Linked DNA regions of Nothobranchius furzeri. The protein of the gene in region 3 purifies or fractionates together with the protein of the main gene of each other region. This does not show direct contact. Links are inferred from orthologs where the notes say so. Each region holds a gene or a part of one and is shown on either strand. Other genes may lie near its edges. The genes, in order: rint1, sec22bb, stx18, scfd2, srprb, scfd1 and snap29.

Region 1 (3,500 bases), on a different chromosome or scaffold from region 3:
GCAGCGATAAACCCAGATTCTACTTATTCCTCTCTTTGTGTTCCATCGTCATCATCACAGCACTATTAGTGTTTTTGTTTTAGCTTCTATCATCTTAACCAGGCGAAGAGGTCTGAGAGTCCTTCAGGTCCATATGCAGAAGCAGGCCAGCCACAACATAACAGTGAGTCAGCAGTTCTTTGAGATCCTTACGCAGTTATGTAGCACTCGTTTGTTTGTTTGTTCTCGTTTGTCACAACTGATTTATATTCAAAATATGATTAAAAATTACACCAATATTGTCAGAATGAAGCAGGAATGAACCAAAGGGTTTTGAACATATCACAGTGGTGTCAGACCAACAACCTGAGGATGTAAGGTGGTGGACTACGGGAAGCAGGAAGGTGGCTCCTCCCCACTGAGGATCAATGGTCTCCTCCTTCAAACACCTCTAAACTCATTAGATGACCTCACACAAACCCTTCATCCTCAACTTACAGTTAGAAAAGCCAGAGAAAGTATTTCCTTTGGCTGCTGCTTCCTGCTGCACTTTTTTATCACACTCTAACCTGAGCGTCGTGATTACCTGTGTCAGTCGAATTCTGAAGTCATCAACCAGCTCCTTCTGCAGCTCCAGGAACTTCAGCTGTGCTGCAGGGCTGGGCAAAGCCTGGTACCGCTCTGGGTTTGACACCAGACAGAAACAAGTAAACATCAGCGTTACTTATCACAATGACCTAGGAAACGTAGTAAATAGCCTAAAATGATCAAATTAGCCCAGATTGGTAGTCTAGATTTTTACCAGGATCATCATATACCTGACTCACATAAGTAAAAGTAGACCATCAAGCAGTGTTTTCAAGTCAAGTGTGCATAATAATCCATATTGTATGAAAAAGAAATCTATCACACACACACACACACACACACACACACACACACACACACACACACACACACACACACACACTTTAGGTGGTAGTGAATTATCTCCCAGCTGAAAACCAGCAGTGCAGTAGCAAACAGCTGGTTAGACTGTAGCAATGAGAGCTGTAGGAACATCAGAGTTAGGCATGGCAGCAGAAAAATAAAGTGACTCCGGCTGACATAAGTGCAGTCATTTAGCAATGAAGAGACCCTCCCAACAACCAAACCCCCCCCCCCCCCCCCCCCCCACACACACACACACACACACGTGTTCCATATGCATTTGTGAGCGAATTTAACTTTTATTCTTTTATGTTTTTTATTGAACAGCTTTGCTTTGAAAACATTAGTCCCAACTTACCTGTGATGACCTGCAGTAAAGTCATGAATGTCTCTGCACATTCTGGAGCGTTCAGTTCATCCATGTCACTGATATCTTTATACTGAGACGTCCACGCTCCCTCAGCAGACAACATGGCATCCATCTTCTCCACTGCCACTGCAAATAAAAACAGACCGGTACACATGCAGTTGGACCGTTTCATCCTCACCAATATCGATATCCGATATTATTACTGCTGTTACGCCTGATGATATTTGTCGATGTTTTGTATAAATTTCCCTACATTTCTTATTCCACGTAAAATCGACCATCGGCACGGCTTCTCAGCTTCAGTTAACCCCCCCACACACATACCTGCGTGGCATCACACGCCCAATCAAAGCCAAAAGATGCTAACACATGAGAACTCACTCTTCTTTTCCATGGAAAGCCACTTCTGAAGGACCGCATCCTCAAGCAGAATGTGAAAAAGACCCGGCAGCACTGCTGGATATGAATAATTACTCCGTAGCTCCTTCTCAAACTGCAGCACCTCCTCCACCAGGTGACAGAAGAGAACATCATCGTAAAGCATCCGAGAAGCATCACTGGCTACCTTCTCCTGGACTAAAGACATCAACCCACGACACAGCTCCACCTAGACACAGGAATAATTGGAGATAGCAGGCAGTCAGCAAACTACAAACATTCACATTTAAATATCATACCACTTATTTATAAAGCACATTTCAAACACAGCATGTCAGCTGACCAAAGTGCTGTACAAGGATAAAAACACTGAGGGTCAAACACAGCAAGAACAACAATAAAACAGTAAAACATCAGCAATAAGAGAAAGTCATATCATCAAAATAAGTCTTTAAAACCGATTTAAAATGAAAGAGGGAGGGAGTCTGCCTGATTGGGAGTGCATTCAATAAATTAGGGGCAGCAAACACCAAATCCCGCTCAACCCGCCATTTATATCTCATAGATGGTACACTGAGCAACAGATGGTCAGCTGACCTCAGAGCCCGATATGGCATGTAGGGACTGATCAAGTCAGAGAGATATCCTGGAGCAGAGCCATTCAAAATCTTAAAGACAACGGTCAGGAGCTTGAACTTGACTCGTAGGTTTACAGGTAACCAATGCAGATGTGTCAGAACGGGAGTAATGTGTGAACGCCTGTTAGTGTTCGTCAGGAACCTGGTTGCAGCGTTCTGAACCACCTGGAGTCGATTTAGAGCTGAAGCTGGAACACCAAAGAGGATAGAGTTGGCATAATCTAAACAGGAAGTAATAAAAGCATGAATGACAGATTCTAAGATTCTAATGTGCAAGATGTAGGAAATGAATAAGAATTGCATTCTGTGATCACGTTTGGTTACTGCAGCTCATTTTTCTAAACATAGAGCGACTCTCTCACCCCTGTACCGAGGATATCGAGGCTGTTTCCAGTTACGGCTCAGCACCAGAAATTCTAGATGACGAGCAAGGACGAGCCATACAGAGTAAGTTGGTAAGTATATAAATATATTCCACTGTATTATCGAGTTATTGGTAATTGAAAACATAGCTTGGGATATTTTTTGAGCAGACTATTTGCTTCCAATTCACCATTAGCAATGTTAGCTTAACGTTAGCCTATAAGCCTTCTTCACCTGATATTAGAGTAAAACAAAAATATGCTGTGGCTTCTTGGGAGTACAAGAAATAACTTCTGGGTCACTCCTGTTTACTGGCTTAGAAGGATCTTAAACAAAACACAGCAGCGCCGAATTGGTGCAGACTTGGCAGCCCAGCAAGCTCACAGACTGCCTCACAGAGAGCCACATATTGTGGCTACATCCCTTTGTCCAGTTTGAAAGGAGAAAAACTGACAACCCCCCAGCCAGCTTCAATGTAACCTTCCTTCCAACATGATTGAGACGTTTGGCTGATTTGTGATTATTTTACAGTAAGCGTTATAATCCCCTCAAGACAAATATTAAAAGATTGCAACAGAGCTCACATATTAACTCGACAACTGGCTTCGTCACCCAACAGATTCACAATGAAGGCAAAAGTTAAAGAGGAAAATGACACTTGGACTCATACAGCCAGTTTAATTACACAAATTTGAAGAACTGTTTTTAAACATTAGTGGTTATATTACATTCTGGGTCACAGGTCAGAAATCGGTTTTGTAATGGTATCATCAAATCAGCATCCACGTGTCTGTGACTACTGAGTGAGGAGGGGAGCTGAGCGGTCAGCTGATTACCACCTG
Region 2 (2,161 bases), on a different chromosome or scaffold from region 3:
GAAACTTATTTTTATCTTGTGGGTAAAAGCTGGGAACGGGTTGAGATGAACCACCTTCGGTTGCTCGCCCCTTCTGAGTCACTGCATAACGTCTGATGTCACATCCTGTCTCATCACAATAAAGGTAAATAAAACAGATAGTTGTATTTGTGAACCGTTCAAACACTACTTTAAATGAAATCTGCCTCAAATGTTTGTGCCTAAATTACAGCGGAGATCATTTAGTGATGAATCGGACGCGTTATGCACGTTTATGAGATTAGGAGCAAAAAGGAAAATAATGATGTGGTTTGTGTCCTTTATCTGTATCCTTAGACATACAGAAGGTTAATGAACAAAACGGGAAATAAATTTTTTCTCTACCTTTGCACAGAAATCACATTCAAAAACAGGCAACCCACACACTCTCACACACACACACACACTAATTTCCTCTACAATCCGAGGGCCATAGATAGAGAATGACTGTTAATTAGAAAACATTGTTTCATGACACCGTTGCTATTCAGACCCACATACGGACAATTAAGGACAAAATGAGTGCTTGTGTGTGTGTGTGTGTGTGTGCGCGTGTGTGTGTGTGTGCGTGTGTGTAAAGTCTCATTAAGAGCAGGGATCCTTTTGGGTCGAAAGTGCTGCTTTTTCTCAGCACTCGCAGACGGCCTGCAGCTCGTTTCCACTTCACTACCTCCTCCCTCTTCCTCTCTCAGAGCCACCAGAAGCGCACGTAGACGATGAGCATGATGAAAAAGACGCCACCTGCTGCCAGCTTGGCGTAGGTGGAGCGGGTGTTCAGGTATTTGGCATCACTCCTGTACTTCTTTGACAAGCTGGACAGATTGCTGGCCTTGGAGTCGAGCGCTGCAAGGAGAAGAAAACAAGATGATCCAGATGAGGTTTTTCCTCTTTTAGATTGAAGCTTCAGCCTCAAATGACCAAGACTGACCAGAGAGAGCCTCTCCTCTCTGCAGAACCTCCTCTATGTTTGCCACCATGATCCTCTGGACGTCCTGCAGCTCCGTGTTGATGCTACCCAGATTCCTCCGTGCTCGGCTGTCGATGTACGACTTCTTGGTTTTTTGAATGTAGGTGTCTAAAAGAGAAAAAAAAACGCAACAGAAAAACAGAAAAGTAACAATGAAGCCATGAGTTGTTTGCTTCAAACACTTCACAGTTTACAGTTTTAGGCTCATTTATCTGCACAATTGAGGATTTTTTTTTTTGTGGAATTTCAGTAAAGCTTCATCAGCTCTGCAGCTACTACTGTTTCCGGAGAAGATGCAGCATTTGGGACATCTGTTTTAAAGCTGAAGGTTTGATGCGAGGTCCTGGGTTCGCATCCCGCCCTGGGGTCTTTCTGCATGGAGTTTGCGTGCGTGGGTCCTCTCCGGGTACTCCGGCTCCCTCCCACAGTCCACAAGCATGACTGTCAGGTTGATTGGTCTCTCTAAATTATACTTAGGTGTGAGTGTGTGTGTGTGTGCATGGTTGTTTGTCCTGTGTGTCTGTGTTGCCCTGCAATAGACTGGCAACCAGTCCAGGGTGCACCCCGCCTGTTTGCCTAGAGACTGTTGGAGCCCCCAGCGTGGATAAGTGGGTACAGATAACGGATGGACTGATGGATTGTTACTGACTGATATTCTGAACTAATTCAGAAAGGAAGCCATGATACTACGTGCATTCATCCATGCTTCTGTGGCACACCACCCTGTGTGGGAATGAGATTTAAACAATATAATTTCATCACGATTTAGCTTTTATATCCAAATATCTGACCAGGAATCGAGTTTCCTGATATCTATATGAACACGATTCTGAGCAACCAGGCTGTCGCTGCTGACAGCATTTCACATGCCTCCTCCGTATTACCGTAATCCATGAGCTGTTCAGGACATCAGAAAATAACAAAAGTGCAGAAAAGCTCAGAGATTGCACTTTGGTAGCCTACATGACACCTCATGGTAGCCCCTCGGTGACTTTCATAACACGAACTTGATCAACAAGATGAGCAAGCTTCACTGTTGTAGTATTTGTTACTCAAGCTGCTCCGTACCGTAACACCTGAGAGGTTTTTCCAATTCAGTGTCTGGAAGTGCAGAAAAACCTTTCCGACTGTTGCAATGAACATAACAGAGAAACGGTCAGCAAGGGAGAAGGAGAG
Region 3 (3,944 bases):
TTTCAATTTCTACATAAACCTTTTTCTGAGATGATATCTGCAGCAGAGGAGACAGCAGGAGGAGAAGGGGCGAAGCATGAGGCAGGAACCACAGGAGTTTGGGTTTCCTTGGAATCAGCAGCAGTGCTTTTATTAAACCGCCATTTCCAATATCAATGGAACAGAACATAACAAAAACCTGGTTGAGCAGAAGTAAGAGCCACTAGGCTCAAGTTTGCTTCAGGCTGATGGTTGGAGCCATCGGGCACCACTTAGAGCCCTCTTACCCCATGGGGAACATAAAGTGCTTCTTCAAGTTGCCTTTGAAGACGTCTCTGTTCATGATATACAGGCACATTCTTTCCAGATCCGATGCTTCAGCACAATTTAGGAAAGAAAAAGGACAACAAATTGAAGTTTATTTAAATTAATACTAATAACTTTATTTCTGTATTTACATAATTTTCTTAATTTATCTACCAAAAACCATCACATGTTCAGGAAGTACATTGATAACAAACATGTTTATATTACGATTAAATTCTATAATTGTCGCTAGTACATCCTCAATTTGTGGCTGAATTAAATGATGCACATTCCTGTGACAGGGCAGATGGCTGGTAGCCTGGCCTGCCAGATTCATCCTCTGTTTAACTCTACACAGAGAACTACTCTGGTTACTCACAGGCAGAGAGGCACATGAGGGGGGCAGGTTTTCAAACTTTATAAAATTAGAAAATTTTAATAGCAACACCCAAAAGTGTTGCTCAGCTTGAAGTTACACATCTCTATCTTCTGGTGTAAAGCAAAAACTTCATAACGGATTATATTTGCAGCTGTGGCTTCTAAAATGCAGCAATAATGCGACTTTGGTGCTTAAAGGGTTAATTCTACCAGTATTCTCAGCAGGCCTTTCAGTTATAAGCCTGTACATTTACAATTTATTATTTTTATTTATTAATAATTTATTATTATTTATGAGTGGGTTCAAGTGAAACGTTTTATTTTGAGTTTTATTTTATATGGTGCTTTGTTATTATGTTGGTGCTAATTTTTTTTTATATTTTTTAAATAATTGATTTATTGCAATGCCTTGATTTTAGTGAGGTTTGCACACATTGAAGCAATAAATTCAAAGCAATAAAATAAAATAAAATAAAATAATATATATATATATATATATATTTCACTTGACTCCGGGGTCTACTGTCAAGCTCCAGTCTAAAAGCTGATGATAGTTTGATGCTTTGCAAAGTCATTATTGAAAAGAAAAAAGTGTAAAGACATCTCATTGGTAATGCAATTCAAGTTTTTGGCTCTTGTGTATTCAAAGCAATTAATAGTTTCAATGTGTTTGTTTCAGCTTTGGCACTGTCTTATGAAAATTAATTCTTATCAGTGTAGGAGATGTGTTTCCCACATAAATAGCTGATGAAGGACTATATTATTTTCATGATGTAAAACACTGCAGACAGAGTCATGGACCATTTTCTTACTTATTTTGTGTAATAAATTACATATTTTATTACATAAAATAGGCCCCCTCTTGTGTAGCGGAGATAAAATGGATACATTTTAATTTCATATGTGAGGCATTTTTATTTTTCTTCTCACACTGAACACCTATGTGTAAAACTTAATTTTTAAAAATGGAGATATTTTTGATGTAGTGATTTACATCAAATTGTTAAGTATCTTAATATTGTACTGATTTTTCTGTTGAACTTGTCAATATCTAGTACACACACACACACACACACACACACACACACACACACACGATTTTATTTGTTGAAGTTATTAATTTCCTATAAAATGAATCATTTTAGGAGAAAATATGGTTAAGTCAGAAAACATGGAATATAGAAAATAAACAGAGAATAGAAGCGTTTTGAAAAAAGTAAAATAGATTGGGTCCTACGGATCAGAGCACATCCTAGATTGTGAATTACATCTAAGGACTGAGGAAGATGCTGGTTTTTTTACACTCATCAAACCTACAGATGACTGATTAGAAAGGTTGATAAAAGTTACTCAATTTAGAAAAAATCTATATTAGGTTTAAGAGTACCTTTGATTGAAGTTGGTTTTAAAAAGCAAGTTAATTGAATATGGCAAGTTAAACACTCTGATTTGAAGATGATCACGAGTAAAATGTATCTCAGAGTCACTAAATCATATTAAATATTCATGCTATCTTGTTTAATTACTGTTCTTGAGATTTGTATTACAGCTATAACTTATTTAGGCCACTTCTTTTTTTTAAATTTTCACTTTAAAATGTAACATATTTTATTGAATTGGCCAAAATGCAAAACAAACTTGAACGAATACCTATATTATGTGCATTTTAAAACGTTTCAACTGGCTTTATTCAGGATAAATATGAATGTAGCATTAGCTGCCAACTGTACAGATACCTATTATAAAAGTTTCCGGGTGAAAAGTTTACCCTCTGCTTTAAATAAGAGGCGCTTGCTGCCTCTCAGAGTCTAGTAAAAGAATTCTAGTCGTTAGTAAATTTTGTTTTAAGAAGCCATACAACGATTATCAGGATCATATGGAGGCTGTCAGAGCTAGTTTCGCTAGCTGCGGTAAAACACTCACCACTTCTTTAGCTCGCGGTGAGAAGCCGCCCTTCGGTTTGCTTTTCTTAAAAATCTCATCTTTTGTAGACTCAAAGCCCACTCCTATAGCCTTGTTCCTGGTTTTGACTGTCTTCACGCTCGCTTTGAAAAGTAAAGTTATATCCACTGCCATGCTTCTCTGTGTGCAGCTGCACCACGACACGGTAAACAAACTGACACGTCACCGAACATGATGTCATTCTCCTGCGACGCTACAGGTTTTCCCTGAGCTGGAGAAGAGAGCTTTAGAATTTAGGTTTGGACTGTTTCAGCAAATGAAAAAGATTTTGCTTCTTTATAATAATCACATACGGTGAGCCTTCCACCTTATATTGTTTAATTGATGTTTGTTTTTTAAGGGAATAGTTTTTATAATTGAGAAAAACCCTTAAAATTAACAATTTAAGGTTAAAAAGTATTAAGAGAAAGTCTTTTTAAATCATGGTCATTTTGAATATTATCCTGTATATTTTAAATGTTATACTGTTTCTCTATTTATCAATTTCATTACATATAATAAATGTTTCAATACCAGGCTTTTGCAGAATTTAATAATGCATTTTTATAGCATGCTGTTGAAAAAAAGTGTATGGGGAGGAAAATTATCAGAAGGTGTGCCTGGTGAATGAGGGTCAGGAAAAGCTGATAGAATTAACTTGTTTTTGTGTGTTTCCTCGAGGAATAACCCTGCAGTCTGTTAAAGGGATGTCTAACGAGACCTGAACAGGACTGTCTTCTTCTTGCGCCGCTAATGCAGAATTCATATTGAACTCTGAGCCCATTACTATATTTTTACAAGAACTAATATGACATTTTTTCTCAAAAGAAGGATTTTCTGCTGAACAATTCGTGACTCCAACAGTTGTTTCCGTTATGAACCTGTCAGCAGGACTCTTTAGTCTCTGAACTGATGGAAATTCAACAACACGGGTGACAGAATTTAATATGGATATCCTGAACTTACTAATAAAACTGTGGAAGAGGATTAGGGCAACTGAAAAGAAAGAGAAATCTGACTTTTTTCTCAGATTTATGACTTTTTCCCCCTCAGAATTGTCAAAGTTGGAAATGTGAGAATAAAAAACTTTAAATTCTAAGACAAAAGCTAGAATAGTCTTTTTTTCATTTTTTTCTTTTCAGTGGCCTTAACCCTCTTCCGTATTAATCAGAATGTGATCGGTTTAATCAATTTCCCTCTGGGATTAATAAAGTATGTTTGAATTGAATTGGATAGATAGTGAGAAATTACTGCAATATAATTGCAGTATTATTGTAAAAAATGTAATACATTTTATACATGTTAATATTTACAGTTGTGATTAAAATAAAAATGATCAC
Region 4 (3,500 bases), on a different chromosome or scaffold from region 3:
ACCAAGTTAGTGTAAAATTCCCTTCTCTGAACTCGACAGCCCCTCACCTCATCAGAGCACCAACCTACTCCATGGTCCCTGTGTTCCACATAGGAGGTGGCCTGTATGAACTCAGACCAACAGCAGAGTGTCCAGCCAGTGCCCCCCCCCCCCCCCCCCCCCCCCCCCCAACACACACACACACACACACACAGGTGCACACACACTCAGACTGAGCAAACACACCTCAACTGCCTGGCAGGTCTAAGAGCCATTTCATCCCACCATTTTTCTGTGTAATAACTTTTTTTTCTCTCTAAGGTTGAGGCAAAGCAAATAAATAAATAAATAAAAACCTCACATTTAGCTCAAATCAACAGAGAGGACACAACTCATTTCCTTAAATTCTTCAGTAAAACTCAGAACTGTTTTGATTGCAGCTCTCGCATTAAGCCGAAGGCCCGATGGTGAGATCTGATTTTCAATGAAAGTATGTTTTGAACTCAAGCCAAAAGTTTCAAAATCAAATAAAACACTGATGCTGAGCACAACTCTTAAAACCTGACTGTGACCAGTTCCATTAAACAAAAACAAAACTGGAGGTAGTGGAGGCAAATTTAATTGATCAGGACTAAAAACGCAACAAAGTTGACATGAAGGATCCAGGTAGGACGGACACCGGAGCGAATCCAAGGAGCCGTACATTAAACAATACTGGGACAGCATAGGCTCTCAATCCACATTCCTTAGTTTAATAAACGAGTGATCCTATCGGAGCATTGGGGTTTAAAAGATTGTTTTCCAAATTCCAACTTGGCCCGAGCTACCAGCGTGTTTTATTTTTCCGTGATTTGGTTTAATAAGTTCCCAAATACTCTGCCATCCTACTGTTGGCCTTGCATCTTCAGGAACGTAAACAGGCTCAATAAAAATGCAGGGGGAGGACATGGCCTCAGGAGTAGTTTGCCACTGGTTTGGCTCAGTTCAGCTTGTGTGATTGAATACTAAATATCTGCTGATCGCTACTAAAAATATGAATATGACTCTGGTTTTTGATTTGTAAAACTTGCTCTTTGACCTTCCAGTACTCCAGCACATCCACTCCTGCCCTCCCATCTGTAAAACCAACCTCTTCCCTTCCCAGACTCTACAACTACCAAACAACATGATGGAAATCTGTTTCATTTTTTTGCTGCGCTTAGTGGAAATAAATGTTCCCCGAACAGAAAACTGACGTTTGCAGGGAAAAGTTCAAAGTAAATCTGTAAATCCAACAATCTGAACACCATGTTAGAAACCATACACCTACCAGATTAGTCTTGGTAAGAAAATATCACCTTGGAGGACACAAATTAGCTTGAATATGCAGCTTTCTCACTCTGATGTGTCAGTAATGGAGTTGTTACGGATTGCAACATAAGAATAGTGAACTTGTAGAAGATGAGTGCGCACCTGCAGCAGCAGCCTTTCAAAGGCCAGACAGGCATCCCAGCGGGCCAAGCTGGGATGTCGAAGTGTCTGGGCCGTGGCCAGGCCCAGCTGGAGGAGCCCGCAGTGACTCTCTAGTGCCTCCCAACTTCTCCGGAACAGCTTTACGTAAGAACACAGTTGCTCCGGGGTCACACGTCCTGAGAAGTGAAATCAGAGGGGAGGATTTTCACAACAGTACAAACATCCAGTTTTCTATTTGTCACATAACATACATATGTTATTGTTTTCCTCACTGTTATCATCAGGATATTTTTATTTTTGTTTCACTGGAAATATTCACACAAACATACACAGGTGTTCAGGCAATGATGGGACGAGGAAAACATCAAGAAATCAGATTAACAAAAAAAAAATTAACATTTAATCATTAAAGGCTTAGAATTGGTCACAAATCCACAGCAGGGTCATCCCAAAGACTTCTAAAAATGGGACATACTGCTCCACTGCTTGACCCTCACCTTGGGAGATTTAACCACCAAATGGAACCCAAGCGTGGCCGTGTCTGCGGCTCACCGCTCTCTCAGAGGATGAGTCAAATGCAGAGAACTAATTTCACACACCAGCATGACAATTATCGATCCATCCATTTTCGGCTGCTTATCTGGGGTCGGGTCGCGGGGTCAGTAGCCTAAACAGGGAGGCCCAGACTTCCCTCTCCCCAGCCACTTGGGCTAACTCCTCCAGGGGAATCCTAAGGCGTTCCCGGGCCAGCCGAGAGACATAGTCTCTCCAGTGTGTCCTGGGTTTTTGTTTAGGTCTCCACTCGGTTGGACGTGCCCAGAAATCCTCACCAGGGAGGCATCCTAACCAGATGCCAGAGCCACCTCAACTGGCTCCTCTCAATGCGGAGGTGCAGCGGGTCTCTCTGAGCCCCTCCCGGATGACTGAGCTTCTCACCCTATCTCTAAGGGAGAGCCCAGCTACCCTGCAGAGAAAATTATTTCAGCCGCTTGTTTCTGCAATCTCGTTTCTGTCACTACCCAAAGCTCGTGACCATAGTTGAGGGTAGGAATGTAGATCGACCGGTAAATCAAGAGCTTTGCCTTCTGGCTCAGCTCTCTCTTCATCACGACAGACCGGTGCAACAATCTCATGCTCCAACTTTCCCTCACGCGTGAACAAGACCCCGAGATATTAAAACTCCTTCGCTTGGGGCAGGACCTCATCCCTGACCCGGAGAAGGCATTCTACCCTTTTCCGAATCAAGACCATGGTCTCAGATTTAGAGGAGCTGACAACTAGTGGGACTTTAACTTTCAGCTGGTGTCAGAGAGAAATCACTGTTTGTGCTACAATAAAAATAAAAATAGATAAAATTTTAAATAAAAATGAATATAATAATAATTATAATAATAATACATTTTATTTGGAGCACCTTTCAAAAAACCCAAGGTCACTGTACAATCAGGTTAAAAATAAATAAAAACTTGAAACATTCAATGACTAGAAAATTAAAAACCCAAATAAAACATCAGATAAAACACTAACAGTTAAAGTCAATAAGCAATTTGGAACCGGCGAGTTTTGAGATTAGCCTGAAATTGGTGAAGGGTAGTCATGTTCCTAAGGTGAGCAGGTAATGAGTTCCATAGGGGGGGAGCCGATCTGCTATGCCCGGTATCCCATCGTGACAAGACGAGGTGGTGGATTATTTAAGTTGATGGAAGAAGAGGATCTGAGCATGTGAGAGGGTTTAGTGACTTGTAAGAGCTGTGAGAGATAAGAGGGGACGAGATTATGATTGGCCTTATACGTAAGGACTCAAATTTTGTAGTGGACCCTGAACTTTACTGGCAGCGAATGAAGCTGCTGAATAACGGCTGATGTGATCAGAATAGGGTGTTCTGGTGAACACATGAAATCTTAGCTCAACATCTGTAAAACTCACTGACGGTTTTGTGTTTGCTAAGGTCAGTCGTCTATGGCAGGATTCGATTTTTATTCAATTCTGTCCAGAGGTTCAGTAGATAAGTTGCTAGCAGGCAGACAGGATTGAGTCCAATGATAAAGGGCATCAATGATCTTGATCA
Region 5 (4,250 bases), on a different chromosome or scaffold from region 3:
ATGTGATGTGAATGAAACATCAGTCCTTAACATAAAAACACGCTGTGTGGTATTTTAAACATGTCATCTCGTAAAATAAACCATTTGTCTCACACTAATTACATTTAAAACAACCACATCTGACTGGAGAAACATGTTTTTAATGTTTAACTGAAGTTTGCAGCTCTTTTTATAGAGTGACAAAACTTCTGAATCCACACCAGATGTCAGAAAACAAAAGCTCAAAGAAAGCTGCTCTAGAAGATATTTGAACACAGCTATTCTAACAAAAAACCCACATCTGTCTTGAGGGAGACACGTTGCTTAAAACATACACAACTTGGTTGAAACGTAAACGCTTGAGGAGAAAACGTATTTTTTGTGCTTAAATGTTAATCAACCTGTCTCATCTGTTTTTTTTTTTATTTAATAAAGAAGTTTGATTCAAACTTAAGCGCAATAAACTTATGTTCTTAAATTCACTGTATTCATATATAACACTTTCAAACAAGAACACTTATTCTGCAAACTTAACATTTTATATGAATAACAAAGACTGAAATGCTGCTCGTGCTCATCTATTTTCAGTGTTTCACAGCTCAGACAAGCTTTAAGTAAATCTGATTACTTTTACACGAGGACAAATGTCTTTACGTCGGGCAGGGTGACCCGTCACTCCTGTTGAAGTTGTACGCCGATTGTGTCTCGCTGCTGATTTTATAGCTTAGCCAGGCTCTTCTCCAGGCTCTCGATGTCCGCTTCCCCCTCTTCACCTTTGCTGCTGCTCCGGGCGCTGCACTCCAGGAACTCCACCCTCATGGGCAGTTGGCTGAACTCAAAGTCCTTGCCTTTTTTCCCAAGATACACGCTGCCGCCCACAGAGCCGTCTTGAGCACTCAGGGCTGCCGAGCGAGTCACTCGCAAGGTGTTTCTGTCAGAAAAATGACATTCTCAGAATTCCATTCAGCAGTTTTAACCCTCAGGAATGAGTTTGATGTTGACTTTGATTTGTGTAATGGCCAGGAGATTTTTAAAAAGTGCTGTTAATGAGACTAAATGGGATATTTATTTATCCTCAACGACTAAAGAGGGTTGTGAATTTTTTTGTCTGAAGCCACTCAAAAACAATATTTTGTCTAGAATTACATCCTAGAAAGATTGCAGCATCTCCCTCATTCGTGTATTTTTTAATAAATGTGACTTCGCAATCTCTCTTAAAAGAGATTATAACAGTTGTGCTAAAAATAATCAGGAATCTGATCAAATTAGGTTTACTTACAGCTCCTTTTCCAGTTGATGTTGAATCAGTTTAGCTGATTTGGCCATGGTGATGTCTATCAAAATAAAAGCAGCAGAAGAGTTTCCAGTTTATAGAAGAGCGGTTTAGTTTGACTGACGCAACGAGGTGATTTAAGTTGTTTATTTAAAGTAAACAGGTTGTTTCACCTTGTTTGTTGCACGCCACCAGAAGAGTCGGGGCGTTTCTGGAGATCACGGTGTCCGTCAACAGCATGTACAGAAACTCTGCCACGTCCCTCACTTCCTTCTGGAAGATGGCACTGTCTACAACAAACACAATGGCTCTGCAGAAAGAAAGGGTAAGATTTTAGAGTGGTGATGAGAATGGGCTCATGAGGAAATAATTAGGCTTGATTCTTTTTTGGTTTTAAATCCTATTTAGTGGAAAAGAGTTGTTGCATTGCAACAAAACTGTGCACAAATATGCTAAAAGCACCAATGAAGAGATTACTGAACCATGCACTTATGCTGTTCTCACCTGGCTGAAGACTTGAACTTCTCCAGGTACTGAAACCGGAGACTATCGTGTCCTGGCAGGTCAATCAGTGTCCAGGAGCTGCTCTAAAAGTTATGGACAGAGCTGTCAATCATTGTCAACCTATAATAACAGTTTTATGCTTTGATGCAGAAGGAAAAGAAGACTTACCCTTTCATTTTTAGCTCTGTATGGCGCACTACTGTCAGTGATGGATGTCTGTGTCCGCTTGAACTTCCCTGACAGCAGCTGAAACAAATAAAACACTTTTAATGAAAAGGAAAGACAGTGCTAACGTGGCCATGGTGGTCCCAACATCAACTCACCCTAATAAACAGGAGGGTTTTCCCAGAGTCACATAATCCGACCAACAGAATGGCACTCTGGACTGTTTTACTGGTTAGAAAATACTTCAGGAAAACTAAAGAGGAAATGTGGAAAGGATTGTTATTTATTCAATATTTTTATTAGCTAAAACCGAAGTTGAATGACTCCTTACACTGTTGCAGCTAAGAGATATTATTTTATTGTTCTTGCGTGTTAATTGAGCATTTTGTAAACACACTGAAAACGTTTTTTCCAGCTTTACTGAGAAACCCGCTTTGAAACGGCATGATACTAGCCTACACGCTAAGGCTAGTTTGCTAAAGCTAGCATGCTAAGCTAACTTACGGTTCCTTCTTACCGCAGGTGATGACAACCACCGCTAAAGCTACGATTACTCCGATCAGAATTACTGGGTCTTGGTCTTCAACTTGCTGACGGAGAGATTCAATAAAAGGCTCAAACGGGTTTTCAGGTGAGTCCTTGTGTGTTTTTTCGCCCATGTTTCCACTGCTGCTGTTCGTAACTGAAATTGGACACGTCTGCTTCCTGGAGCCTGTGGCGAGCTTGAGTGAACAGCAGAGGGCGCTGCAGAGCTGCTGCTCAATAATAATAATCACATAAATATAATAAGAGTTTTCTCTCGGAAAAAATGAATATCACTTTCGATTTTATTTTGTTTTACTTTATGAACATTAAGAAGTAAGAGACATGTTTTTTCATGTTTTTACAAATCCATTTCCCCAAATAAAAGTATGAAATATGTGATAACTCTGAGATAATAATTCAACTATCTATATTTTTTGGAACGTACATTTTAATAGGAACATACTGTAAAAAAGATAGCTTTCCCCTCTTAAACTAAGTAGACATTGTAGGCCTCACGTGAAGGGAAGTGAAAAGAGATTATAAATAAAAATTCAGCTTTATTTCTGAGTTTGGTGCATTTATTTATTATTTTTATTTTTAATAATTGTAAATCATCTTAAACTGTATTATATGTAGCTAAAGGCGAACTACCGCATATAGGTTAGATTTTATTGGAGTCCTTTTGAAAAAGCGAACAGAAAGTGTTTTCTAGTCCTCATTTATTCCCAACCTTGCCGATGTTTCTGTAGAAGACCTCATGTGAAAACAATCAAGGTATAAATGTGAAACAGACTAAAAGCATGAGTTTTGTAACATGGAATCTTGTTATTTTATTTTTGTTTTCAATTGAGACCAGATGCGTTTTTACGCACGTCTCCAGCCCTCACAGTCTGCACGTTTTTTACGCACACTGGATATTTGACTCCTCGGTTGGATGTCAAACGTCAGAGAGAAGTTATTCTATAGGAAATGGCTGAGTGTCCTTCATAACGGGCTCTTGAGGGGGGCAGCTTGTTTCTCGTCGGAACAAGAAATGACAAACCCCCACTGATGGATTCAGCGGGATCTGCTTAGATTACTCCTCTTTGTGAAAGTACTGTAGTTTTTTCGTCATTAAAGACGGATTTACTTGAAAAACATCGACTTCTTTTGAATATTTCTGTCATTCAGAGAGCATGGCTTTGTCTTACCTCTACGCGCTGTGCGTGTGGGTGAGTTTAGTGTGCGCTTCCCTCGGAACTGGGTTCATCTATCACTTTCCAGGCATCAGCCTGCAGCGACCGCGCATCAAGTCGGAACAGAGCCGAACCACGGGTCCACCAGGTTCTGGATCCCGGAACCAACTCAGGTACACTTTTTATTTACACTTTCTGCAAACTCTGTTGGTGTTGAGTGGAGCATTTTTTTATCGCACTGGTTACTTCCAGTTGCTTTTGATCTCTTTCATTGTGCATCGCAGGAACTGGTGCCAGCACACCGTCTCCAGGACTGTTCCATGTAAAGTGCACAACGGGACCGAAACCTCCGTGCAGAGAGTGTTGGGCTGCAGATGGCCGGGACCATGTGCCAAAGTCATCAGGTACCCTCCGAGTCCTCACTGGTCTGCCCCCTTCAGCTCCCAGTGCTGCTGGTTTCCTGTTTACAGTCAGTTAGGGAAATGAAGCAGGGCTCCTTTAGTGATCAAAACACCCTGAAACTGTCATGAATCATTTGCACCCATTCTGAGATTGAAAGGGTTGATCTTAGCAGAGCTAATGCTGTGTTGTGTATAAACAAAGCTAAATCTAAAACAGATCTTTGTCAC
Region 6 (3,500 bases), on a different chromosome or scaffold from region 3:
AACGGCCATGAACCGGACCATGATTGTGCAGAAAGACAGCTCTAATGAGTTTTACTTTCATTGAAGAGTTTTGTGTGAAATTTCTGAAAAGATCAGCTTCAAATTTACAACAGAAAAAGGAAATACACTCATGTGACAGATAAAAGCCTAGAAATTATACAGATAATGAAAAAAATTCACTCTAACAAAACACAAAAACAGTTTAAGACGGTTTTATTAGCGAGCAAACATAAGACATTAAGGTTCGGTGTGTAACCATGAAGTCAACATTCCTCTTATGTTTTGTGGAACCTGAACCAGAAACCAAGAAGAACCACATTCACACAGAGGACAATCTGATAAGAACAGAATGTGCTCCTCTATTTCTTTCATCTTCACCCCTCCTCTTCAGACCAAGAACAACAGGACCTCTCTGTGGTCTGTAACACCAGCTGCTGAGAAACCTACAGGTGTGTGTGTGTGTGTGTGTGTGTGTGTGTGTGTGTGTGTGTGTGTGCGCGTGCGTGTGTGTGTGTGTGTGTGTGTGTGTGCGAGAGTGCGTGTGTGTGTGTGTGTGTGTGTGTGTGTGTGTGTGCGTGTGTGTGTGTGTGTGTGTGTGTGTGTGTGTGTGTGTGTGTGTTTTTACCGAAAGACAAAATGAACTGTTGTCTACAAGGACTCTGCTCTCATGGTTCACTTTGAAGAGATGTTCAAATGATCTGATTTGTTGGTGAACGTCACTACTGAAACCCTGCTCCTGCATCTGGAGGTGAAGGTATCCTACACTAGTGACATAATGCATCTGGTAATCCTGTGCAGCTTTGGCCACATGCTGCAGAACAAGTTCCGTACCACACAGTGATGCTCTTCACCACACATCTGTAGATGGATCAGAGGACTGATCCTAGGTCCTCCCTGTCTGAGTCTCTGGGAGACATACAGCTGTTGATGTGCCCTCTCCACTAGACTGCTGCAGATCAGCTGGTTGCTGATAGGCAATCCTAAGTATCTGAAGCTGGAAACCACATCTGTTGGGAGTACCATCTAAGCAGAGTAGTGGAAGACGAGTGGGTTAACCTCCCAATCCAACCCCTTAAGGCTAAGACTCAAGCATTTTTAAAGTATTTGGTATGACCCGATCGGGATTTGAACAGATCTCCCAGTCCCAGGGCGGACACTCTACCACTAGGCCACCAGTGTTGGGAATGTTATTTTTAAAAAGTAATTAGTTATAGTTACTGATAATTTTGCCAAAAAAGTTACTCAGTTACTTACTGAGTTACAAGATTATAAAAGTTACTAATTACCAAGAAGAATAAATATTTTGTTACTTTTTTTCATTAAACAATGCAAGAAAAATGGGTTCTCCTCTTAGTTAAACTTAGACTGGAAAATAATAAAATGTATGTCCAAATGTTTTGTATAAAACTGAATAATTGAAATAAATGGGCACTTAACAGGAGGAACTACAAACTGGAACATTACACTAATCTAGACTATTAAAATGTGACTGTGTGATATTTAACCAATCAGCTAAAATTTATAATTGCAAATAGACACACCTGTAAAGGTTCCTGAGCCTTTAAATGGTCTCTCGGTCTAGTTAAATTACTGAAATAAATGTGATTCTGCACGGTTTTCTAATTTTTCCAGCTTCACATAATTGTGTGTTTTTACCAGCATTTCTGTTGCTGGTAATCTAGTAATGGTTAAATAAATAAATAAATATCCTTTAAAATGACACTAGAAGAAGCACAAGCCTGATGGGGGACTTACATTTACTAACTTGGGTCAGACCCAACCACAGAAGAGCTGAAGCTGGGTGGTAAACACACACAGGTAGTTCTAATAACACCTGAGCTCCCACTATGTCTGAGACTGATGCATCAGTGTTACAGCGGGACTAAATGATCAGAAACAGGTTACAGCTGGATGATCTAGGAAGGTAGAAGGATCAGGACGTCCCGCTGTCCCGCCAAGAAGGGCACGGCTGCAGATTCACGCTTGCAGTAGCAAATCTGCGGGTCTGCAGAATATTCATCACGTCTTCCTCATTCTCCACGGGCCGCGATGCGCTCGGATGAAAACATCCGCCTCTTTAGCTCCCAATCAGCTGAAGGCAGCTTCAACACACTGTGCTGCTGAATTAGTAACACACGCATTTTCTGATCAGTAACGAAAATGGCATTACGATAAAAGATGGTAACTAATTAGATTACTAGTTACTGAAAAAACTACCTTTTTTTTAGTAATTCCGTTATTTTAAACGGTGTTATTCCCATCACTGCAGGCCACTGAGAAGAAATAAAGCGGACCAGCTAGAATAATTATAGAATAGTTAATCTAAGGGTTATCACTTTCAGACCGGTGGTCGTGGTGATCTGCTCTGATGTAGGAGAAAATAAATCCAATAAGTAGAAACAGTGACTGAACTCACAGGATGTGACTTCATCTCCATCAGGTTGTCCAGAATCCGAGTGACTGGAAGATTCTAAAACCAAAATAAAATAAAATCAGTTTTAAAACACGCAAATGAAGAAAAGAAAAACTACGTGGAAAAATATATTTGATCACAAAACTTGATATTTTAATTCCCCCTGAAGACGGAGAACTCCCAGCAGAAAACTACATTTTTCAGAATTTGCACAAATCTGCTTCTGTTTGCAGCCAGATGCTAAAAGTGTGATTATTTATTAATAAATCAGGTGGCTTTTGAGGAACATTCTGGCATTTGCAGGATGAAGTGAACTCTGAACCAAGAGCAGGACTCAGGACGACATCCTGAAATGAACCAGTTTGAGAATGATGGTGAGCAAAGTCTCATCTTCTATCCTGATCTTCCGGGGTCAGTGGTTCAGGAACTCCAGTATCCGTGTGCTTGGCACAATTCCTGATCCTTTTACTATCTGCCCTGGCGTTTGTGGAGTAGCTGTGGTAAAAGCTGAGTCTGAGGCAGTTTGAGAACTTCCTCAGTGCTTTACTCACATGCTGCTTGAGCACCAAGTTCTTCACACCCTCCATGACAAACTGGGAGCCGGTGTTCATGACTCTGGAGAACAGGCTGTAGAGAGAAGAGGAGGGAAGAGAAACAAGACAGAAAAAATGGTTAAGATGGTAAACGAAAGCACGCTGCTTAAAAACAAACAAAAACCTGAGTCAACATTATTTTATGCTTCAGCTTTATTAAAATCAGAATCTGTATTCATCTGGAGAGAAACAAAACCAGCTAAAATCCCTGAATTATTTCTGTTCTTAGCTGCATTTCAGAGGAACATCTTCTGCTTTTCCTACTTTCATAAACTCTAACCCTCCCACTGTCTTTATGGGTGACCCCGCGAGGAAAGTTGACCATTGAGCAGGACTGATGATGGTTTATCCCTCGAGGTCCACGTGTCAGGGGACCACGTGGACCTCCTCATCTCTGCCACATGGACCTCGAGGGATAAACCATCAACCCTGCTCAATGGTCAACTTTCCTTGCGGGGTCACAACCATTAGGAGTGTGGGAGGGTTAAATTGTT
Region 7 (4,005 bases), on a different chromosome or scaffold from region 3:
ACAGAAATGAATTATTTTTACCCAAATTTTTATCAAGGGTGTGGTGAGCCTCCTTGAGGTAGCTGTTCTGTGGGTATCCATTCTGTCCGGATGAGCCAGAATCCAAGGATGAAGCTGCTCCAAAACCTGGAACACAGGAAGGAGAAATGATGACGGCTGGTTCATGGGATGATTAAAACATACCCAGGTTCATGTGCCAACGCCCACCTCCTGTCTCCAGTTTTCTTAGATTGGGGTGGCTCGCTTGGTATTTATCTTCATGTTCTCTGCTGCTGGACATGGCCTTCTGTAATCTGAGACAAAAAGTACAATTCAAAACAAGAAATGAACTGAAATTTCCAGATAATGATCATGTTCTGGATTCTATGATAAATAACGTTTGGGGCTACTTTCATTAAACACATGAAGCACCTTAGTACATGTGCTAGAGGTGAGGGAGGAGCTACACCTCACCTGTAGTAACCTCTGAAAATCCTCCAGCAGTGCTTGGTTTGTAAATTCAGGGATACTTTAGAAATAAAACAGTAACTTTAGGTCAACTACTGATACTATGAGGTGTTGGTGGCACAGGAGCTCAGTGCTCGCCCCGTAATTAGAAGGTTGCAGCTTCGAGCCCCGCTCAGTTTGTCGCTGTCGTTGTGTCCTTGGGCAAGACACTTTACCCCCCTTGCCTGCTGATGGTGGTCAAATGGACCGGTGGTGCCAGTGCTCGCTCGCCAGACTTGCCTCTGTCAGTGCGCCCCAGGGCAGCTGTGGCTACATCGTAGCTCATCCCCACCAGGGTGTGACTGGGTGAATGACTGTGATGTAAAGCGCCTTGGGGGGTTATAGGACTCTAGGTGGCGCTATATCAAATACAGGCCATTTACCATTATACATTTCTAACATTTTGTAGCGTTGTAGCTTAGAAGGTCTAGTAAATGAATCAGTTGTATTAGTATGAAGTCAGATTTCAACTTTTAATCCTAATAATTATGATTCTTTAAATGCTGTAATATTTTATAACTTCTATTCCATTAAGCTTTAGAACTTGATTTGCATTCAACTTTAAAATAAAAGTTATTGAATATTTGTAAAAATGACAATAGCAAAAGCAGTAAAAAGTCTAAAGTGTTGGACCTGCAACAAATAAGAAAATGGTATTGATATGACAGCAGCACAGGAGTGACTGAAACGTACCGTTCATTGGTCTCGTAGGCTTTTGGCTCTTCAGGGGTTGGCTTTGCATCTGGCTTACCCTTGAAGTAATTGACAAGACCTCCCCACACACTCTTGATAGAGTTAATATGCTTTTGGCTGGTTTTCAGGTCCTGATCCATACCCTCCAACATCTTGTCAGCCCTCTTCAGAGCTTCACCTTGTCGCACCAACTCCTAAACACATATACACATAAAAATAAATGAGCAACCGAGGAAGGATATTTATGGATGCGGTGAAAGAGGATGTGAAGTTAATGTGAGGGTAGAGAATGCAGATAGGAAAGGACTGAATGACGACAGACAATTCACCATAGGGACCATTGAAGGCAAAAGCCAAAAGAGAAAGAAGAACATTAAAATAAATGAGCAAAAAATGGATGAAGAATGCATGGATAGATGGATGGACTTATACCTCTGCAGTTTCCACACCCATCTTCTCAGATTCATAAATGAGACCAAGGGAACGATGGCTGCTATCCACAGCAGACTGTGCTGTGCGCATTACTTCCTGTCGGAGATACCTCTGCCTCCTCTCAGCGTCAGACAGCCCGCTGTCATCAGCTTCACCATCAAAATCCCTATTTTTAGGCTTAAATCCTTCCTCCTCCTCGTCATCAGCAAATGGATTGTGAGATTTTGGGTAGGCCATCTGAAAGTTAAACGCACAGTGTTGACAAAATAATATTATCTAAAGTCTTAAATATATGTCAACAGGATTAAGTGTGCTCATCTGCTGTATAAAAACCACTAAGCAAAGCTTTTGACATTAAGAAAGTGAAATAATATCATGTTGTGAGAAACTGAAATAAGTCATAAAAGAAGTGATTAAAATCCAAATAAGTCCTCATAAGTTACTTTTCTAAAAATACACGTGAGAACACCTGCCAAGATAGATAATAATATAAAAAAAGTAGCTTGTAACGTATTACAGTCCCTACAACATAACGACAACTTACCATTAGCATCAACAGATAAGTTGACACATTAATCTGAAAAAAGTTTAGCTGTATTTTGAAAAGAACTCTTTTCTACTTTCAACAAGTTTCAGTCTTCACAGAAGAAAACATGTTTTAAATGATGGGTGGCTCCAAGCAGTTCACTGCTGTATGGCACCGGTATTATACAACCTAAAGACAATAATATTTGTTGTTCTGTGTTGTTATTTAATAGGTGTTGGCTAGCATGTTCGAGAAGATACTGCTAGCAGAACTAGCCGACCCACACGTCAAACAGCCACACCCGAGAGACAAAGCCGCGGTGTAGTTTGACTGTAAACACCTTTTCAGCTATGAAATAGCATGTGCCAAACGACACCCTAAAAATGATAATTAAAACGACACTCACCTTCTGACTGTCGATAACTCAGTGCTACAGATGAGCACTGTGTCACGTTGGATGACGTAGTGGTGTGCCGTGCGCAACAAAAAGTATAAAAGTACTCCTCGTGTATAAAATAATATAAATAAAAATTTAAAATATAAAAAATTCGGATGGGATATGTTTAACTTAGCTTACTTGGTTAAATAAAAAAAAGTAAATAGCTTCAATATATTGAATGGCGCAACATGGAATTGTCCGTGTTGGGCTTCCGTCCGTACTGCGGTATCCTAACGCTAGTTGCCGCTGCTCTGCCGTTTCCTCTTATTGTTGAATCATAACGCTGGCTTGATGGAATCGTAAACATGTCTTTAATGGGAGGCAGTACGAGAGGGTTTTATTTCAACACAGTTCTATCGCTGGCCCGCTCACTTGCTGCTCATCGTCCTGCCCCCGTCGACAAGGTGAGGAAAAATCCAGAGTAATTTTCTCTTGACAAAAATTAGCATAAAATTAGCTTAGGTCGGAACAGTAATGACCACTGGTGTTTAGGGTGTTGCTCCGCTTCCGCACGCCCAGGCGGTGCCTTATTTTGATTACAGACAAGATTAACGTTTGACAGTTCCGTTTATGTTTGCATTTAGAAGTCACCAGTACGGGAATTAATGTTTCCCTCTCCCGTATCAGAAGATAAACGGGCTGTTGCTGCGCTTGTGTGGTTCCTGCTACTGCATCACTCAGGCGGAGTAGCCAGCCTCGCTGCGGTCAAACAGGTTTACAGATGAGGGGGGAAAGTGCTCAGCTGGTTGTGGATACTAACCTGTTCAAACTACAGGGTGGAGAATGAAGAAGATTTACTTCACCACTTAAGAGAAGCTCGCACGAGAGTCGATTTGATTGATTTTGTTGAACCAACTATCCACGCACTCCATTATCTATTGTGTATTTAGAGTTTTAGCTAGAATATCAAACAGGTAATAAAACATGGAAAATTCATGTGTATTAATAACGGGTTGAATACAGTACAAATGTTTTTTTTTTTTACAAAAATCAGAAATAATTTCAGTTACATTGTTGTAAAATTTCAGTTATAAGACAGGTAAATATTGGATCATGCAGGTGTCGTAAAACAAGAAACACTGCAACATTTGAGACTGATACTATAAAGAAATAGCAGAACCCTTGTGACATATTATTGACTTTTAGATATAAAGTTTATTTGGAAAAGCCACAAACCTTTAATGTCATCTTTAGGTTTTAACTTAGTGATGCATTTTATGGCATAATTACCACAAACTTCCGCAAAACCCCAGTGTTTATTTGCTCCCAGATCTCGTAAAACGTTTAAATACTATATAATAACTTTAAATACTGGTATTTTAATAATGCAATGTGCAAGTTCAGTTAGTGAAGGAAAGTGTAATTAGATTGAAAAATTTCATTGTTTTGAAATGACCAGATTACCTTTTTTCCTTCTCTTTCGTGGTCG

What was found.
Region 1: the proteins of stx18 (region 3) and rint1 purify together in Homo sapiens (co-immunoprecipitation; 6 studies listed by BioGRID and IntAct, counting the BioPlex papers as one, with this or other methods). This does not show direct contact. The link is inferred for Nothobranchius furzeri from reciprocal best matches to the Homo sapiens genes STX18 and RINT1.
Region 2: the proteins of stx18 (region 3) and sec22bb purify together in Homo sapiens (affinity purification with mass spectrometry; 5 studies listed by BioGRID and IntAct, counting the BioPlex papers as one, with this or other methods). This does not show direct contact. The link is inferred for Nothobranchius furzeri from reciprocal best matches to the Homo sapiens genes STX18 and SEC22B.
Region 4: the proteins of stx18 (region 3) and scfd2 purify together in Homo sapiens (co-immunoprecipitation; 3 studies listed by BioGRID and IntAct, counting the BioPlex papers as one, with this or other methods). This does not show direct contact. The link is inferred for Nothobranchius furzeri from reciprocal best matches to the Homo sapiens genes STX18 and SCFD2.
Region 5: the proteins of stx18 (region 3) and srprb purify together in Homo sapiens (affinity purification with mass spectrometry; 3 studies listed by BioGRID and IntAct, counting the BioPlex papers as one, with this or other methods). This does not show direct contact. The link is inferred for Nothobranchius furzeri from reciprocal best matches to the Homo sapiens genes STX18 and SRPRB.
Region 6: the proteins of stx18 (region 3) and scfd1 purify together in Homo sapiens (affinity purification with mass spectrometry; 5 studies listed by BioGRID and IntAct, counting the BioPlex papers as one, with this or other methods). This does not show direct contact. The link is inferred for Nothobranchius furzeri from reciprocal best matches to the Homo sapiens genes STX18 and SCFD1.
Region 7: the proteins of stx18 (region 3) and snap29 purify together in Homo sapiens (affinity purification with mass spectrometry; 3 studies listed by BioGRID and IntAct, counting the BioPlex papers as one, with this or other methods). This does not show direct contact. The link is inferred for Nothobranchius furzeri from reciprocal best matches to the Homo sapiens genes STX18 and SNAP29.

What each region holds. Positions count from the first base shown.
Region 1 is NC_091741.1:64,267,313-64,270,812, forward strand, and holds part of rint1 (RAD50-interacting protein 1), read right to left. Parts: intron 1,887-3,500; coding exon 1,661-1,886; intron 1,406-1,660; coding exon 1,268-1,405; intron 661-1,267; coding exon 566-660; intron 1-565. UniProt on the Homo sapiens protein: Involved in regulation of membrane traffic between the Golgi and the endoplasmic reticulum (ER); the function is proposed to depend on its association in the NRZ complex which is believed to play a role in SNARE assembly at the ER.
Region 2 is NC_091748.1:52,853,415-52,855,575, forward strand, and holds the end of sec22bb (vesicle-trafficking protein SEC22b-B), read right to left. Parts: intron 1,094-2,161; coding exon 947-1,093; intron 862-946; coding exon 707-861; 3' UTR 501-706; downstream 1-500. UniProt on the Homo sapiens protein: SNARE involved in targeting and fusion of ER-derived transport vesicles with the Golgi complex as well as Golgi-derived retrograde transport vesicles with the ER.
Region 3 is NC_091743.1:54,501,813-54,505,756, reverse strand, and holds the start of stx18 (syntaxin-18), read right to left. Parts: upstream 2,801-3,944; 5' UTR 2,740-2,800; coding exon 2,587-2,739; intron 355-2,586; coding exon of another isoform or gene 267-354; intron 1-266. UniProt on the Homo sapiens protein: Syntaxin that may be involved in targeting and fusion of Golgi-derived retrograde transport vesicles with the ER.
Region 4 is NC_091748.1:39,881,051-39,884,550, forward strand, and holds part of scfd2 (sec1 family domain-containing protein 2), read right to left. Parts: intron 1,608-3,500; coding exon 1,432-1,607; intron 1-1,431. UniProt on the Homo sapiens protein: May be involved in protein transport.
Region 5 is NC_091753.1:42,154,364-42,158,613, forward strand, and holds srprb (signal recognition particle receptor subunit beta), read right to left. Parts: upstream 2,801-4,250; 5' UTR 2,581-2,800; coding exon 2,439-2,580; intron 2,175-2,438; coding exon 2,080-2,174; intron 2,003-2,079; coding exon 1,925-2,002; intron 1,840-1,924; coding exon 1,757-1,839; intron 1,563-1,756; coding exon 1,426-1,562; intron 1,314-1,425; coding exon 1,259-1,313; intron 911-1,258; coding exon 697-910; 3' UTR 121-696; downstream 1-120. Other genes in the region: col26a1 (collagen alpha-1(XXVI) chain), read left to right, coding at 3,622-3,794, 3,906-4,025. UniProt on the Homo sapiens protein: Component of the signal recognition particle (SRP) complex receptor (SR). Ensures, in conjunction with the SRP complex, the correct targeting of the nascent secretory proteins to the endoplasmic reticulum membrane system.
Region 6 is NC_091758.1:18,052,494-18,055,993, forward strand, and holds part of scfd1 (sec1 family domain-containing protein 1), read right to left. Parts: intron 3,041-3,500; coding exon 2,965-3,040; intron 2,471-2,964; coding exon 2,417-2,470; intron 1-2,416. UniProt on the Homo sapiens protein: Plays a role in SNARE-pin assembly and Golgi-to-ER retrograde transport via its interaction with COG4. Involved in vesicular transport between the endoplasmic reticulum and the Golgi.
Region 7 is NC_091757.1:55,819,076-55,823,080, forward strand, and holds the start of snap29 (synaptosomal-associated protein 29), read right to left. Parts: upstream 2,801-4,005; 5' UTR 2,544-2,800; intron 1,849-2,543; coding exon 1,612-1,848; intron 1,374-1,611; coding exon 1,180-1,373; intron 294-1,179; coding exon 208-293; intron 127-207; coding exon 22-126; intron 1-21. Other genes in the region: pi4kab (phosphatidylinositol 4-kinase, catalytic, alpha b), read left to right, coding at 2,882-2,980. UniProt on the Homo sapiens protein: SNAREs, soluble N-ethylmaleimide-sensitive factor-attachment protein receptors, are essential proteins for fusion of cellular membranes.